Neurospora crassa OR74A: one gene and its partner. The protein of the gene in region 1 purifies or fractionates together with the protein of each later gene. This does not show direct contact. Links are inferred from orthologs where the notes say so. Each region holds a gene or a part of one and is shown on either strand. Other genes may lie near its edges. The genes, in order: cul-1 and scon-3.

Region 1 (7,337 bases):
CAATAATAAATCAGAATATGTGGTTCTGTTGCTCTGAATTCTAACTCGTGTCATGTAGCATGGATCGACTCGTATGAAGAGAGATATGGACAACCGTCCACCGGCCAGGGGGGGATCTTGAACCGACCACCCCCACGCACAGTCCAGCCACAACACAACGGCACGCCAACCGAACCACGAAGGGTATCGAAAGATGGATTCGTGTACGAACCAGATGGGCTAGAGCGGAGGAACGATTCCAAGATGAAACTGCGGCGGATTCTGAGACGCGGGGACGGCATGGAGCGCGGCCGGAAATGGGACCATCTCCGAACGGACGAACCCGTCATTCTCCACCGGAATGCGCACTACACGTCCAACTCGCCCTGGTCCGAATTCATCCACTCGTCGCAGTGGGGCCACATGCCGAATGAGCAGTCGGAAGTGGTCGACTACCAAACACTCGAGAAGCTGCAACCAAACTTGAATTTGCCCGTGCACCTGCCCGAATCCGAAGACGTTTACAAGTCTCGCACCGGGAGGAGGTCGGCCTTGTACAAGCGACTCTGGCAGCACGTCCTCCGCCATCCCTTGGTGCCGTTACTCTTCCGGTCCCTCGTACTCATCACCTCCATCTGTGCCCTCGCCCTTGCGATTCGTATCTACCAGCTCGAAGGTCGGCGGCGCTCCAACCAGCAAGAACTACAGAATCAGATTCTCGCTCGATTACGAGCCCTGCATTCAGCCTCCAATTCCGAAGGATACGTCGACCAAGAGCTTTCCCTGATAAGACAGATCTCGCCCGGGTCGTCAGAGCGGACTCAAGCGATAGTGGCGATTGCGGTGGACACGATAGCGATTCCCTATATCGGGTACATGCTCTGGGACGAATACACGGGCCGCCCATTGGGACTAAGGCCGGTGACGCAAAAGAGCGGGTTGGTGCTGATGGATGTGTTTTTCATCGTGTTCAAGGCGGCCAGCACGGCGTTGGCATATGAGGTGTTGGTTTATCATAACAGTCAAGATCGCTTCACGGACCATTTCAGCCAGGCGCTGGCCGCGTTTCAGCTGCTTGGGCTTTTTTTCTGGTTGACCAACTTTACGGTCAATGTGTTTAGGCTGGTAGTAAAGCTGGGAGGCGGAGATGATTTGGAGACTCAGAGGGGAAGGTAATGACGGTTATAATGGGCGGTCAAGCCCCGAAGGATATTGAGAGGGAAAGAAAAACAAAGCGGGGGAGATGAATCACGTCGAACGTCTCCAACCACCCGCATGGGAGCATACTTACTTGCATTTTCTCGTACTTTGTCGATACCTCAGCACGGTTCTGCCTCTGTGTTCTTTTGGGTGGGGTTTTTGGATTAGCAAATTAGCATACAGCGGTAACAAATAGTGTTTGATCAGTTGGTAATGTTGGTGATGTTGATATTAGCAAGGATGGTGATGATTATTACTCGATTGTATATGCATTATGAGACATGAAAAGGGGAACGGATAGCGAAAGATTTGACATGGTAAGGAGATATCATATTGCCTGCCGTGAGCTCCCAGCAGAAAAATACATGCAGTTTAATCGAATTCTGGCCACCAATGGTGTCCTTCTACAACATTAGCGGTTAAAGGGGCTGTAAACGGCTGACCTACCTCTACCTACAAGTAGCTACATCGTTGTCACTGTTCTGCTTTCTTGTATGTAAAATGCCCCGCCAGCTGTACATATGTGCCATCCCCATATTTTATTACTTCAGTTCCGGTTATTGTATTCATATTGAGAAGAAACATGGTATTATATCAATATAAGGTACATACCTTCATCAGATCTGTTAGCCGCCATTGTTAGATGTACCGGTAATGACGGAATGTACACTAGATGGTCGCCCGTCCCGCATCGCAGGGCATAGGTCGTCTCCATCCCCGCCACTTTCCCGTCCATGGTTGGTTCCCCACAATTTTGCGTGTTCGCGGTGGACGTTTACTGGCGGGGGGGCCACTGCTCTGGAGCCTCCATGCTGCTTGCTGTCAGTGTCAATCGATGCCTGCCACGCCGCTGCAGCCTGAAAACCGTCAACGAACGACGGCATCGCTCTATCATCCGGGCATCGACCACGGCAGCAGCAGCAGCAGCAGCAGCCTCGGGGGGCCAATCTGGAAACTGGAAACTCCACTCTTCAACTTGATTACCTACACTCAGAACAGAACATTGAAACCTGTCAGAACACCACCACAACAACAACAACAACAACAACAACAACCAGCCAAGGTACCTACCTCTACACCTCACCTCTAGGCTGCGACCTCACACCCGTCACTCCAAGGGAACAATCCTTTCTTCACCCGACCCGATATCCGATCAACCCGTCTGTCTGTCTGCTCACGGTCACGGTCCTTCTCCCAGCCGACACCGACGGACCTAAGGACGTGGTGACCCCCGCCATCCATCCGACCTTCCAGACCTGTGGCGCGCCTCATCGCTCAGGACGAGCTTCTACTTCTACGCCTCTGGCTGCCACCCAGTCCATTTACCCTTCGTCACCGGTCGCAGTCAACGCGCTTCCAACCTCAAGAACGACCGGTCGCCCAGATCAAACTCGTTCTTGCCCCCCCGACAGCCTCTGGACGAACACACGCGACCCAACACGACCTGGTCAGCTTGAGTTTTCTCACGGATTACGCCCCTCGTCCACCACCACTTGTCAGCCGGCATATTATTCCCAACATCGCATTCTTTCTTCGATTCCCGGCGCACGATCGCTCTTCAAACGAACATACACATAGACACAACAAACATGCCTCCGGCAACCATGATGATGGGGGCGTACGGGCAGCAGCCTTCTGGCAGTGATGGTATCGACAGCACGTATGTTTTCGCTCTCTTCGCTGCTGGCCCCTCTGCCTCCAAACAGCCGTACTGACCCTCTGCCAATCAGTTGGCCATACTTGCAGTCTAGTATCAACAAGATCATGACCAACCTCCAAGAAGGCCTCGACATGAGCAGTGTATGTTTCTTCCTCGCCCATCCGTCCACGTTACCCCCCGCTAACACACGCCGTTTGTAGTACATGGGAATCTACACGTTAGTTGGACGGATGCCCTATTTGTCTATACACTCCTTCAACATGGTACTAACTGCGGCATAGGGCGGTGCACAACTTCTGCACATCGCAGAAGGCCAACGGCGGTAGCAGCAGTCCGAGTAATCACCTTCCGGGAATCGGGGCCCAGAGAGGGGGTATGTTGTCTTTCCCTGCATTTGCCCGTTAAACAGATTGAGCAAGAGGACTAACATGCACCAGCCCATCTGCTTGGTGAGGACTTGTACAAGAAGCTGGCCAACTACCTGACAGACCACCTTAAGCACCTAGTCTCCGAAGCGGAGGCTCACAAGGACGAGGCCTTGTTAGCTTTTTACATTCGCGAATGGCAACGCTACACCAACGCCGCCAAGTATATCCACCATCTCTTCAAGTACCTGAATAGACACTGGGTTAAGCGCGAGATGGATGAAGGGAAAAAGAACATTTACGACGTCTACACGCTCCACCTTGTTCAGTGGCGTGACGTGTTGTTCCAGGCTGTCTCTAAGAAAGTCATGGACGCCGTTCTCAAGCTAGTGGAAAGGCAACGCCTCGGTGAAACCATCGAGTACACCCAGATCAAACAGGTGGTCGATAGCTTCGTCTCACTCGGTATGGACGAAGGCGACAACACCAAGACGACGCTGGAAGTGTATAGGTACCACTTTGAAAGGCCGTTCCTGGAGGCGACCAAAGTCTTCTACCAAAACGAAAGCAAACAGTTCGTGGCCGAGAATAGCGTTGTCGAGTACATGAAGAAGGCCGAGGCTCGCCTGGCTGAGGAGGAGGAGCGCGTACGCATGTATCTGCATCCAGATATTGCCCTACATCTGAAGAGGACTTGCAACCAGGCCCTCATCGCGGAGCACTCTACCCTGTTGCGTGAAGAATTCCAGGCCCTGCTGGACAACAACCGAGAGGACGACATGAGGCGGATGTACAGCCTCCTTTCTCGCATTCCCGACGGTCTGGAGCCTCTGCGGACTCGTTTCGAGGCCCATGTTCGCAAGGCTGGTTTGGCGGCTGTTGCCAAGGTGGCTGCAGACGCCGACAAGCTGGAGCCCAAGGTCTACGTCGACGCTCTGCTTGAGATCCACACTCAGTACCAGGGGTTAGTTGAGCGCGCTTTCAACAAGGAGCCTGACTTCACCAGATCTCTAGACAACGCGTGCAAGGAGTTTGTGAACCGGAACGAGGTCTGCAAATCGGGCTCCAACAAGTCACCGGAACTGCTGGCCAAGTACACGGACGTGCTTCTCCGCAAGAGCAGCACCGGAGTGGAGGAGGCGGAGCTCGAGAACACGCTGACGCAGATTATGACTGTGTTCAAGTACATCCAGGACAAGGACGTGTTTCAAAAGTTCTACTCACGCATGCTGGCGCGCCGCCTCGTACACAGCAACTCCAACTCGGACGATGCCGAGACCTCGATGATTTCCAAGCTCAAGGAGGCCTGCGGCTTCGAATACACCAACAAGTTGCAACGCATGTTCCAGGACATGCAGATCTCCAAGGATCTCAACACAGGCTTCAAGGAGCACGTCGCCTCCCTCAACATGGACGGCAAGCCGCTCGACTCGACGTACTCTATCCTCGGCACCGGTTTCTGGCCGCTCGTTCCGCCAAACACCAGCTTTGTTGCGCCCGCCGAGATCTCGGCCGACTGCGATCGGTTCACCCGCTTCTACAAGAACAAGCACGAAGGCCGCAAGCTCACTTGGCTGTGGCAGCTGTGCAAGGGCGACATCAAGGCGAATTATATGAAGGGCGCTAAGATGCCCTATATCTTTAGCGTGTCGGCGTACCAGATGGCCATCTTACTGCTTTTCAACGAGAAGGACCAGTACACGTTCGAGGAGCTTGCGAGCATCACTCAACTCAACGCGGACGTGCTTGAAGGCGCCCTAGGCATATTGGTCAAGGCCAAGGTTCTTACCGCGGAGGGTGGAGAAGGTGGCAAGATTGGACCGGGAGCGACGTTTTCGCTCAACTACGACTTCAAGAACAAGAAGTATCGCATCAATTTGAATGTGGGCATGAAGAGTGAGACCAAGCAGGAGGAGGCGGAGACGAACAAGACGATCGAGGAGGATCGCAAGTTGCTGTTGCAGGTGTGTGACCCCCTACACCCAGTAAGCGTGTTGATTAGAAAGCTAACGCAGAAACCACACAGTCCGCTATCGTCCGTATCATGAAGGCGCGCAAGAAGATGAAGCACCAGCAGCTTGTCTCGGAAACCATCAACCAGATTAAGGCACGATTCATGCCCAAGATTGGCGACATCAAGAAGTGCATTGAGATCTTGCTCGATAAAGAGTACCTGGAGCGGTTGGAGGATGATGAGCTTGGGTATCTTGCCTAAGTGGTCTCTGATGCTGTGGTAGGACCAACCACAGATACAACAACCTCGGAGTCTGGGTACTGAAGCGGTTATCACCAGAAGAGACAACGTGCGGGGTAAACAAATTAACAATGATCAAGCGGGAAAAAGTACGAATTAACTAGCCTCGATAGAATTCACACATACCGGTATTGAACAACCAGCGTGCTTTGTTTGTTAGTTTGTGATCTCAAGCGAGAGAGAGGGTGTGCTGGAAGGTTGAAGAAGTTGAGAAGAAGAAGAATAGAGATTAGCAGAAGGATTTGGGAAGGGGAAGGACAAAGAGTTAATGACAAATACCATTACAGATCACACATACTTACTATTACCCCATTATGAGTCCCTGTCTGCATGTGCTTCTATTTGGTCTTTGTAGAAGTGATTCAAGTTGTTTGACGCCGGTGAAGACTGAAAACATAACCGTGTTAGGTAGTAGGTAGTAATAGAAGAAACGAATCTTCACTTTACCCGACCCAACGAAGCCAGGCTATGAAGCGATACTTCTATGCTGCCTTCTATATAGTAGCTATGTTGGTACAGATACCTCCATGTACGGTAGCCACAACACTGACTAGAGGTAACTTACGGTATGCACTCACTGCGGTAAATCCCAAGGTAGGTAGGTACCTACCTCTAGATCACTTTGGTTGTTTTAGAAACTGCCCAGACTCTCACTCAGGGAAGGGAATGAACGAACCTTGCTCGAGCCTTGGTGTTTGTACACTAACTACCTCTACCTACCTAAACCGATAACTAAGTAGTGACTTTGTAACTTCAAGCATGATGATGGAAGCTGTCCCTAGGTATACTGCAACTCAACGACAACTGAGGTGACTGGACTTTGGGTAAGTAGCCAAGATAGTTGGTGGACAAGTTGATTACCGGATTATTTGACTAGGTACCTTACACAGTTACTGCCCCTTGGTGAGCGCTGCTGCTGCTGGGTGTTGGGTACCTACCTACCTAGGTACCTACCTAGGTATTATGAGGTGGGAAAGTCGCCATGTTACGTTCTTCCTCCCTTTCTTTCTTTCCTCGGAGCCTTTCCGCTCGCTCCATTCCATGTGTCAATCAGTCACCTAGACTAGTCTAGGTAGGTAGGTAGTGTCTTCTCGGATTCGTTTCCGCCCTCTTGTCTGTAGGCCGGGCACTCACGCACCTACCATAGTGTAGGTAGGTACCAGTAGGTATTCTCATAATCCCAGCGAGGTGCGGAAACGGAGTTACTCGTCAGTTCCAAATTGTATACCCACATACTTAGCTAACATAGCTAGGTAGTTCATCTCTTATGCTGGTTTGATTCCCTTTACATATGTTGTTCGTCACCTTAGCGTGTACTGTACCTAGTGTAGTGTAGTGTAGTGTAGTCAAGTTCCGGCCAGGCTACAAAACGAATTACTGTTACGACATCTGAGACATCCTATTTGTATCTAATCCCTTTTAAAGCCTTTTTAGTCCATTTTGGTTCTTTGAGTCCCTTTTCCGCCCTTTTAGCATCAAAACAAGCGAGAGATCAATGTCATGTGCTGGGGGCGTGCTGTGGGCGCGTCTGGTGCTGGACGGAAAAAAAGGTCCTATCCCATGATGATCTACGATGGGTGATATCGGAGTATGGGCTCGATTAGACTTGGAAGGCGACCTAGTACTAAGTCATTGTGCGTTTGGCACAGTGCCGGGTGCACAAAACAGGTACAGTACAGTCTTTCGACAGGCAGTCGGCCCGTGGTTGTTTGTAGTGTAGCTGTTTGTGGTGTGGTGTAGTGTTGTTAGTTCAGTAGGGGTTAGCTTGGTCCACTGATCGATTTTAGGGAGCATGGGTTAGCGAGAGTATTCGTGGAGAAGGGGAAGTGTGCGTGAATTGGTATGCTTTTTTTTCGAAACCGGTCAAGTGTCCGATGTA
Region 2 (6,894 bases), on another chromosome or scaffold:
TTGTCAGCTCTCCGAACTGTGCGCGCTTCCGTTCGTCAGCTTTTCAACAGGTGGGCCTACCTTGAGCCTGTATAGTAGTGTTGTCTTTCCGGCATTATCGAGGCCCAATATCAGAATGCGGATCTCCTTCTTTGTCCAAAAGAGGTTGGACAGGCTAGACAGCCATGACATGCTCTGACCCATCTTTGCGTGTTGGCTAGTGCCCCGGAAGACTGAGAGCGCGTTGAGTTCGTAGGAGTGTGATGATTGAGGCAGTTGATAATTAGACGGATGAGGAGAGGATTTGACCAGGCAAGGCGATTCCTTGATACAGATCGGGCTCTAACGTGTCGGATCGGGCCGTACTAGTCGATGGAAATGATGACGGCGAGTAGTGTATTATCGAGGAGGCAGCGAACGGAAGCGCGGTCAGCCCAGCTGGTATCTTTCGGATGCTCCCGTGCGCACGGTTGAAGACAGGATAAGCGAGGGTTTGTTGCGCCGTGGTATTGCGAAAAAAAAAAGTGTTTTGGGTTAGGTTGCTTCAAGATGCTCCTCTCGTTGTCATAGAGAGGCCGTCGCTCAATGCCGCCAAAGAGCTCCTTTGATCGTGCCGGCACTCAGGGGTCCCGGGAGGCAAGGCCGCCCCAAGCGCCCAGCCCAACTGCAAACATCCCGGCAATCGATTGGCAGCGAGACGGCACCGTGGAAACCTCCGATAGCCGCTTCTCGTGGCTCGTGCGCCTCCCTTCTGGACCCAAATGGACCTTCTGTCCGGTCAGAGAGCGGACTCCAAGAGTGAATGAGCCTGTGCCACAAGTACGAGCCACAGACACACACGTGACTCAGCCACATGCGCACTTTCGGGCCCTAGTGTTCTGCTTGGTTTTTGAAAGCCCACACCAAATATTCTAACCCACCTCATCGACACCAGCCAAATCGACCGGTAACTCGACAACACCGTCAAAATGCCGGTACGTAACGTCCCACCATGTTGAGCATAGAGAATGCTCGGAATCGCTCTGCTGTCGAATTTTTGGCCGTCCTGCTATGCCAGAAACGGCAGCGACACGGAATTCCCAAAATGATGATCGCAGAGCGATTGATTGAAGCATGGAGGAGGGGTCCATGACTTCACCTGCTCGAACGACGGCAAGACAAGTTATGCTGACGAGGTGCATCGCGAAAACAGAGCCACAAGACCTTCCGTGTCAAGCAGAAGCTTGCTAAGGCCCAGAAGCAGAACAGGCCTATCCCCCAGTGGATTCGCCTCCGCACTGGCAACACCATCCGGTACATATCACCATAAGCGCCCATTGCTGTCGCGTTCAGCCAGAGGAGAGGGAGAGGGATGGATAGTGACGGGGATGGTGGTGAGGGAAGCTGGAAAACAAACCAGCTGCCTCGGCTGTACCCGGCGCAACATGCCCTCTCGCGAGCTTTCTGCACTCAAGAACGCATGGCGACTGCTTCATCATGACGCTGGATGCTAACAAGAGACAACTAGCTACAACGCCAAGCGTCGCCACTGGCGCAAGACCCGTCTCGGCCTCTAAATGCTCTCACGATTCTTCCATATTCCACCCCCAACGATGGTCTTCTTTTCCTGGTTGCTCTGATCCACCTCCATTTTTCGAAAACTGGAGCTTGGGAATGCGACCTATGACGGCAACCTTCTTCTCTCGGCCTTTGTCCTACGAAATTAAACCGATAACGAAATCTTCCCGACCTCCCGCTACGGAGTTGTTTTGCTAGGGCGAAGTCACCGATCACCAGCAAGCACGAAGGAGAAGCGGGCAAGGGCAACCAGGAAGCAAATACCGGAAGATGATGTGATCACAACCAAGTTCTGGCTCGGCGGCGGTCGGTTCTCAGCTGTGTTCTTTCGGCGGGGGGAAATATCCTGGAACTCGATCCTTGTTTTGGGGGAACGTAAACTTTCGGAGTACTATGCTTTCACGGCAAACATTTAGAAGGACGGTTACTGGGGGAATTAGGATCTGAAATGAGAGAAAACGTGGTGCACGAGAGTTGATTCCCATATTTGTTCTACCCATGTTCTCGGAACTGTGCTACAAAATCGGTCTATGTACCATGTCGTGTGCGCATTATATCAAGGTCTGTGACACCGAGGGGGCTTGATCAAAAGACGTGGGCAATGTCCAAATCAGCCCGCCTACGTTCCATCAACGACTTCTGTACCCTTGGCTTGTATAAAGCGAGTAAAAATGAGCCATGATATACAACTTGGGTAAGCTCCCTCCTAGTCTCTCTGCAATCTGGACCATTAGTATGTTGTTTGTGTGCATGGGCAACTCCATGCCATCCTTGCGCCTGGCCATGGTTGAGTTCAAAACGCCAAATTGTCAGTGAAAAGGGCGGTTTCTGTACCTACCTGTTTTACCGGGAGCGCTCTAGCATGGAACAATGGAGGGTAGTGTGGATGTTGGCTGACTTTTCTTTCCCCTACTCTAAGGCCCATTTCTTCCTGGTGACTCCGCGCCTTGAACCATGAATAGCTGCCACGAAACAGAGGGTCGTTGTTGCTATCATTAGACTACAGTTCACATGATGGGCGTATTAAGCGAATACGAGGTGCCAATATGTAGAGTATGTTGGTGGTAAAGGGGGCCATCATGGCAACAACACGGAACAGAATCGTGACGACGTTGTCGGCCTTTACGGTGAGGACGTTCTCAGACACGTAAGGACCTGATTCACAAACTGTATCATCATAAGAAAACCCTCGATTCAGCCTAAGAAAACAAGGAGCCGTAGAAAAAAGCTAGAGAACAACGCCTCTAAACGCCTGCCAACGCAAAGGTACGATCGAACGTACTGAGTGGAAGAGCTTCGTTTGTGGCCCTCCCAGGAATGCCCAAACCGTATCACGTCGTCGTCGAAATGCTGTCGATAACACGAGATGTGTTTGATATCCATCTCCCAACATAACAGCTCTCCCCATATCCATCAAACTCGGCTAAAGTGTGCGTTCCGGTAGACGAAGCACAGGGGTAACCTCTGTCGTTGGCAGACGGTGATCCCGGCGTTGCAAAGTGACTTGACGTGGAAACTGGTCTTGATCGGCTAACGGTCTTCCGCCCATTCGTTCTCGCGGCGAATCTGCTCCTCCTCCTCTGGAGTGAAATCATTTGTGATATTGAACGTCTTTCGAATCTCCTCAGGGGACTTGCCCTTGATCATGTTGGCAACGGTCTTGCATCCAACATCAAGGAGGGGCTTGATGTCCATGTAGTTGGCAGCCTGGATGAGGAATATGTTAGCATGATCTGACCCTGCAGAACCCGAGTGATGTTTGCATATCAAGTAGCATCGGCGGGTAGAACGAGGGAGAAACCTACGAGAATGATCTCGAAGAGCATCTCCTGGTCAACCTGCATGAACTTCTGGTCCCATTCGTCGATCTCCGTGCTCTTCTTACGGCTGTCGTTCTCGTCCTCGGTAGTCTGGGGCGGGTCCTTGCGGTGGTGCTCGCACCACTCGACAACCTTTCGGAGGACAGGCTCGTTGACGTTTGGTAGGGGAATAGCCTCGTTCATAACAGCCTCGTCGCCCAAATCCTCAATCAGGTTCTTGATGAGAAGGGATCGCTCGGCAACAACACGATCTGTGTTTGACGCCAGTTAGTCGGCTGCAGTCGCAGGGAAAGAAAAGGAGACAGGCCGGGTGGCGGGGTGATTCTACTCACCGACGGTGATGATTTGGCCATCGTTGCTCTGGAGAGATACCTTCTGGAGGGCACGTTCGTCGTTCTCCGCCATGTTGAATGTCTGTAGTCGTAGTCTTGACGTTAGAAGATACGTCGATGGATGTTGATGGGTTGAGTTGGCTGTCTATGTGATTGATGCTGGTGGTGTAAATGATGCAGAGAGGGGATAGTTCAATTGTGGGGGAAAAAGTGGGAGACGGTGTTGTCATATAGTTACCTGTTTGCGCAAATTCAAGCTCAAATGTAAAAGTGACCTTGCTCTGAGTTGCAGGAGGTTTGGCAATAATGAGAGAAGGAACGCACGCGGTGTGATTAACTGGCTGCAGTGCGTGGTTCTTATGGTTTCCCCGTGAAAGGTTGCCTGTAGTTTGCTTGGGCTAGTGATGAAAGTACAGACGGAGGTCCGCGTGAGTGCCCGTTGGCGGGCGCAGTCGGTCCTTCCAACAAACGAATCGCCTCTGCCTTCATTTTGTGGAGCCCGCTGCACGCAGTCCAATTGCGCGCACGTAAAGTGCGTGCATAGACCACCTAGCAATCCTGGCGCGGCCCCTCAGCTCGTCAGCCTTCTTGGGTTGAAATATAATGGGGTTGGGTGGTCAGTGCCCAGGCCCTGCCTGGAGAGACGGATGGACTTGCTCCAACACGGAAGACGCAGAAACGCTCTGGAGAGAGAACCTGACCGTTCACGTGCCGTTCCATGTACTAACCTTTGGCACCACGCAGCTCCCATCAACGGAACGATGGGACATTTGCACACCAGTGATTAGATGTAGTATTTTGAGTCACGAAGAGACGATGTGGGGACCGTCGTTGGCGTGATCTGGGGACATTCGAAGCTACAGATGTCTTCATGCTTGCAATATACACAAAGCATTGCATTGGATAGTAAAAATAATCAAAGACCGGCACATTCCACGTACACACGAATTAGGTTCATTGACAGCTGACTACATGCGGTTTCCCACACGGGGACTATGCGTTTTTCCAGATGCTTTATATTCACTATGTATGTTCCGGCTTAGGATGATACGCCCGCACGCCCGGTAGATTTTACCCACGCTTGTAAGTTGGATGTCGGGATGTCAATAGCTTCAGTTGGAAAAGCTCCTAGATGAAGTATATACATGATGGACAACTACATAATGGTACCCAAAATTGTCCTCTGCTACTCTGGCTTTTGTTGCTATCTTGCATCATTGATACGGATTGTCAAGTAAAGGAATGCAGCTTGAATGTGACAAAAGCTGCGGTACCTCCCGTCCAACGAGCACAGAAAATCAAACTTCCGTGGGAGGAAGGACAAGGGGTCAACATGAGGGCCTATCAATATTCAAGGCCGCTTTGCTGGAGATTTATTTCACACTAACAGACCAGGACATCTTTTGCTTACCATCTGTCCGTATCGCAGTATGATGTACATTCAGATCACGAAGGCGAAATGTCAAGATTCCAAAGCTGTGTCCCGGCGCGAATATAGGTACAAATAAAGCTGTACATACATACTATGTAACTCGTCATTCATCCATGGTCCGGCTCGCGCAGATCGACCAGTTGCTGCACCCGTGCGGGAGGAAATTACCAAAGTACCTAGACTCGCGCCAACGACGCCAACGAGCCTGCCGACTGGCCCGAATGCGGAGGCGGGCTATAGACAGACTACCCCTTCTCCCTATATCTAGACTACTTAACCACTTAGGGCATGGTTCTAAGGCATCTGATCTATATTCCCATTTGCTAACATCCTACAGTCAGAACTAGGCCAAAGTCTGTTAACCACAGCCGGTCATTTTCGAAAATTCTTCCAAGAAATAGTTGGTCACCTTTCTAGTCATAAGGCGATGCACTTTCACCATATACACTCCCTCCAAAAGAAAAAAAAAAAAAAAGATAGCCTTACGCCGGGCCAGATGCAAGATTACAGCCAAGCGAACATTTCAACATCCCTAGATATTACTACGGTCCAAATGTCATATATTGGAATGCGTCTTCCTTCCTACCTAAAGACTGAGGATTTAGTGCACTTTAACCGATTGCGAACCTTATTTTTTGTACGGCGGAAAAAGGCTCAGAAGCCTTGCCCAAAGCGGTTAAGTAGTCTAGATATAGGGAAGGGGGGTAGTCTGTCTATAGCCCGCCTCCCGAATGCGGACGGACAACTGCGTGGGGAATCTGGAGATGTCCTCACCCCACCTAATTTGAGCTTCAAGAATTCCAGAAGCCTTCCTTTCCGATCGCAGCAAGCAAGTCCGAAGCTTGTCAAGATTCAAGCAATAGTACCTGCAGGGGCTCGCCGCGAAAAGTCGCTCATCACTAGGTACCTACCTTCACATATGACCCTGCCGTCCAGGAAAAGTTGAACTCTCAGCTGCTTGCTTCCTTCGAAACTCGTGAATACTTTCATCTCAAAGGGCCTTGCGAGACATGATCGCTCGTTCCTTCACTGGAGAACACCTGGACGCCGGCTGACGAGAGAGGCGTGATGCTTTGTACTAAGTAGTGCGGATGGTGACACCATGAAGCTGGATTAGGTGCCCCTGGTTACAGCGATGGTAGCGTACAGGAGAATTGCGGGAAAGGCGCGTTTGCATGATTCAAACGGACGGTCGGATCCAATTCTTTAGCGTGCCTGAGGGATGCTGACCATCAACCCCCCTGTTCGGAGCTGTTCGCGGACAGGGTTCGCTCCTACGCAGTAAAGGTAGAGGTACCTGAGATCTGGCACGATGCCACCGTCCACTCCCGGTCCCATGGGCAATTGGGCATTCCCTTCTCACGAATGTTACAGGCCCATCCCTTCCAGGTTCCTTTCTGATTACCACGCCCAAAGATTCTCCTCGTCGCTTTCGGGTTATGTTTGAGCGCGTTCTCTCCCCGACACGCCATCATGCCGTTATTTTAATCACAGCGACTTCCCTCCTCAACATTTCCATCCGGTGATGCCCATTTAGCTTCCCGCGAGTTCTAGTAGTGCCTCGAACGGCTGCGTGCGCCCCAAAAACGGATGCTCACATGGGTCGCGAATGACTGCAGTCGCAGGATCACGAACTTGACATGTTGCGGAGAACATACCTTTTCTTGGTGTTGGTAAGGCTCTGGTTTGCCTTATCACCAAGCTATCTTCACCCAGATGAGAACTTTCAAGGGCCAGAGGTTATAGCCGGTATGTTTGTATTTGCACTCCGCAG

Evidence for each region.
Region 2: the proteins of cul-1 (region 1) and scon-3 purify together in Schizosaccharomyces pombe (affinity purification with western blotting; 5 studies listed by BioGRID, with this or other methods). This does not show direct contact. The link is inferred for Neurospora crassa OR74A from reciprocal best matches to the Schizosaccharomyces pombe genes cul1 and skp1.

The regions. Positions count from the first base shown.
Region 1 is NC_026504.1:5,759,490-5,766,826, reverse strand, and holds cul-1 (Cullin 1), read left to right. Parts: upstream 1-2,136; 5' UTR 2,137-2,768; coding exon 2,769-2,839; intron 2,840-2,909; coding exon 2,910-2,979; intron 2,980-3,039; coding exon 3,040-3,056; intron 3,057-3,120; coding exon 3,121-3,212; intron 3,213-3,276; coding exon 3,277-5,168; intron 5,169-5,230; coding exon 5,231-5,419; 3' UTR 5,420-5,770; downstream 5,771-7,337. Other genes in the region: NCU05203 (hypothetical protein), read left to right, coding at 59-1,155. UniProt on the Schizosaccharomyces pombe protein: Core component of multiple cullin-RING-based SCF (SKP1-CUL1-F-box protein) E3 ubiquitin-protein ligase complexes, which mediate the ubiquitination of target proteins.
Region 2 is NC_026503.1:4,146,727-4,153,620, forward strand, and holds scon-3 (sulfur control-3 protein), read right to left. Parts: upstream 4,134-6,894; 5' UTR 3,927-4,133; exon of another isoform or gene 3,771-3,926; 5' UTR 3,762-3,770; coding exon 3,689-3,761; intron 3,608-3,688; coding exon 3,342-3,607; intron 3,244-3,341; coding exon 3,067-3,243; 3' UTR 2,405-3,066; downstream 1-2,404. Other genes in the region: NCU08989 (ADP-ribosylation factor 1), read right to left, coding at 61-183; NCU08990 (60S ribosomal protein L39), read left to right, coding at 948-953, 1,172-1,272, 1,487-1,535; NCU11399 (GPI mannosyltransferase 4), read left to right, coding at 6,761-6,869. UniProt on the Schizosaccharomyces pombe protein: Required for cig2 degradation in the G2 and M phases of the cell cycle. Together with pof6, essential for septum processing and cell separation.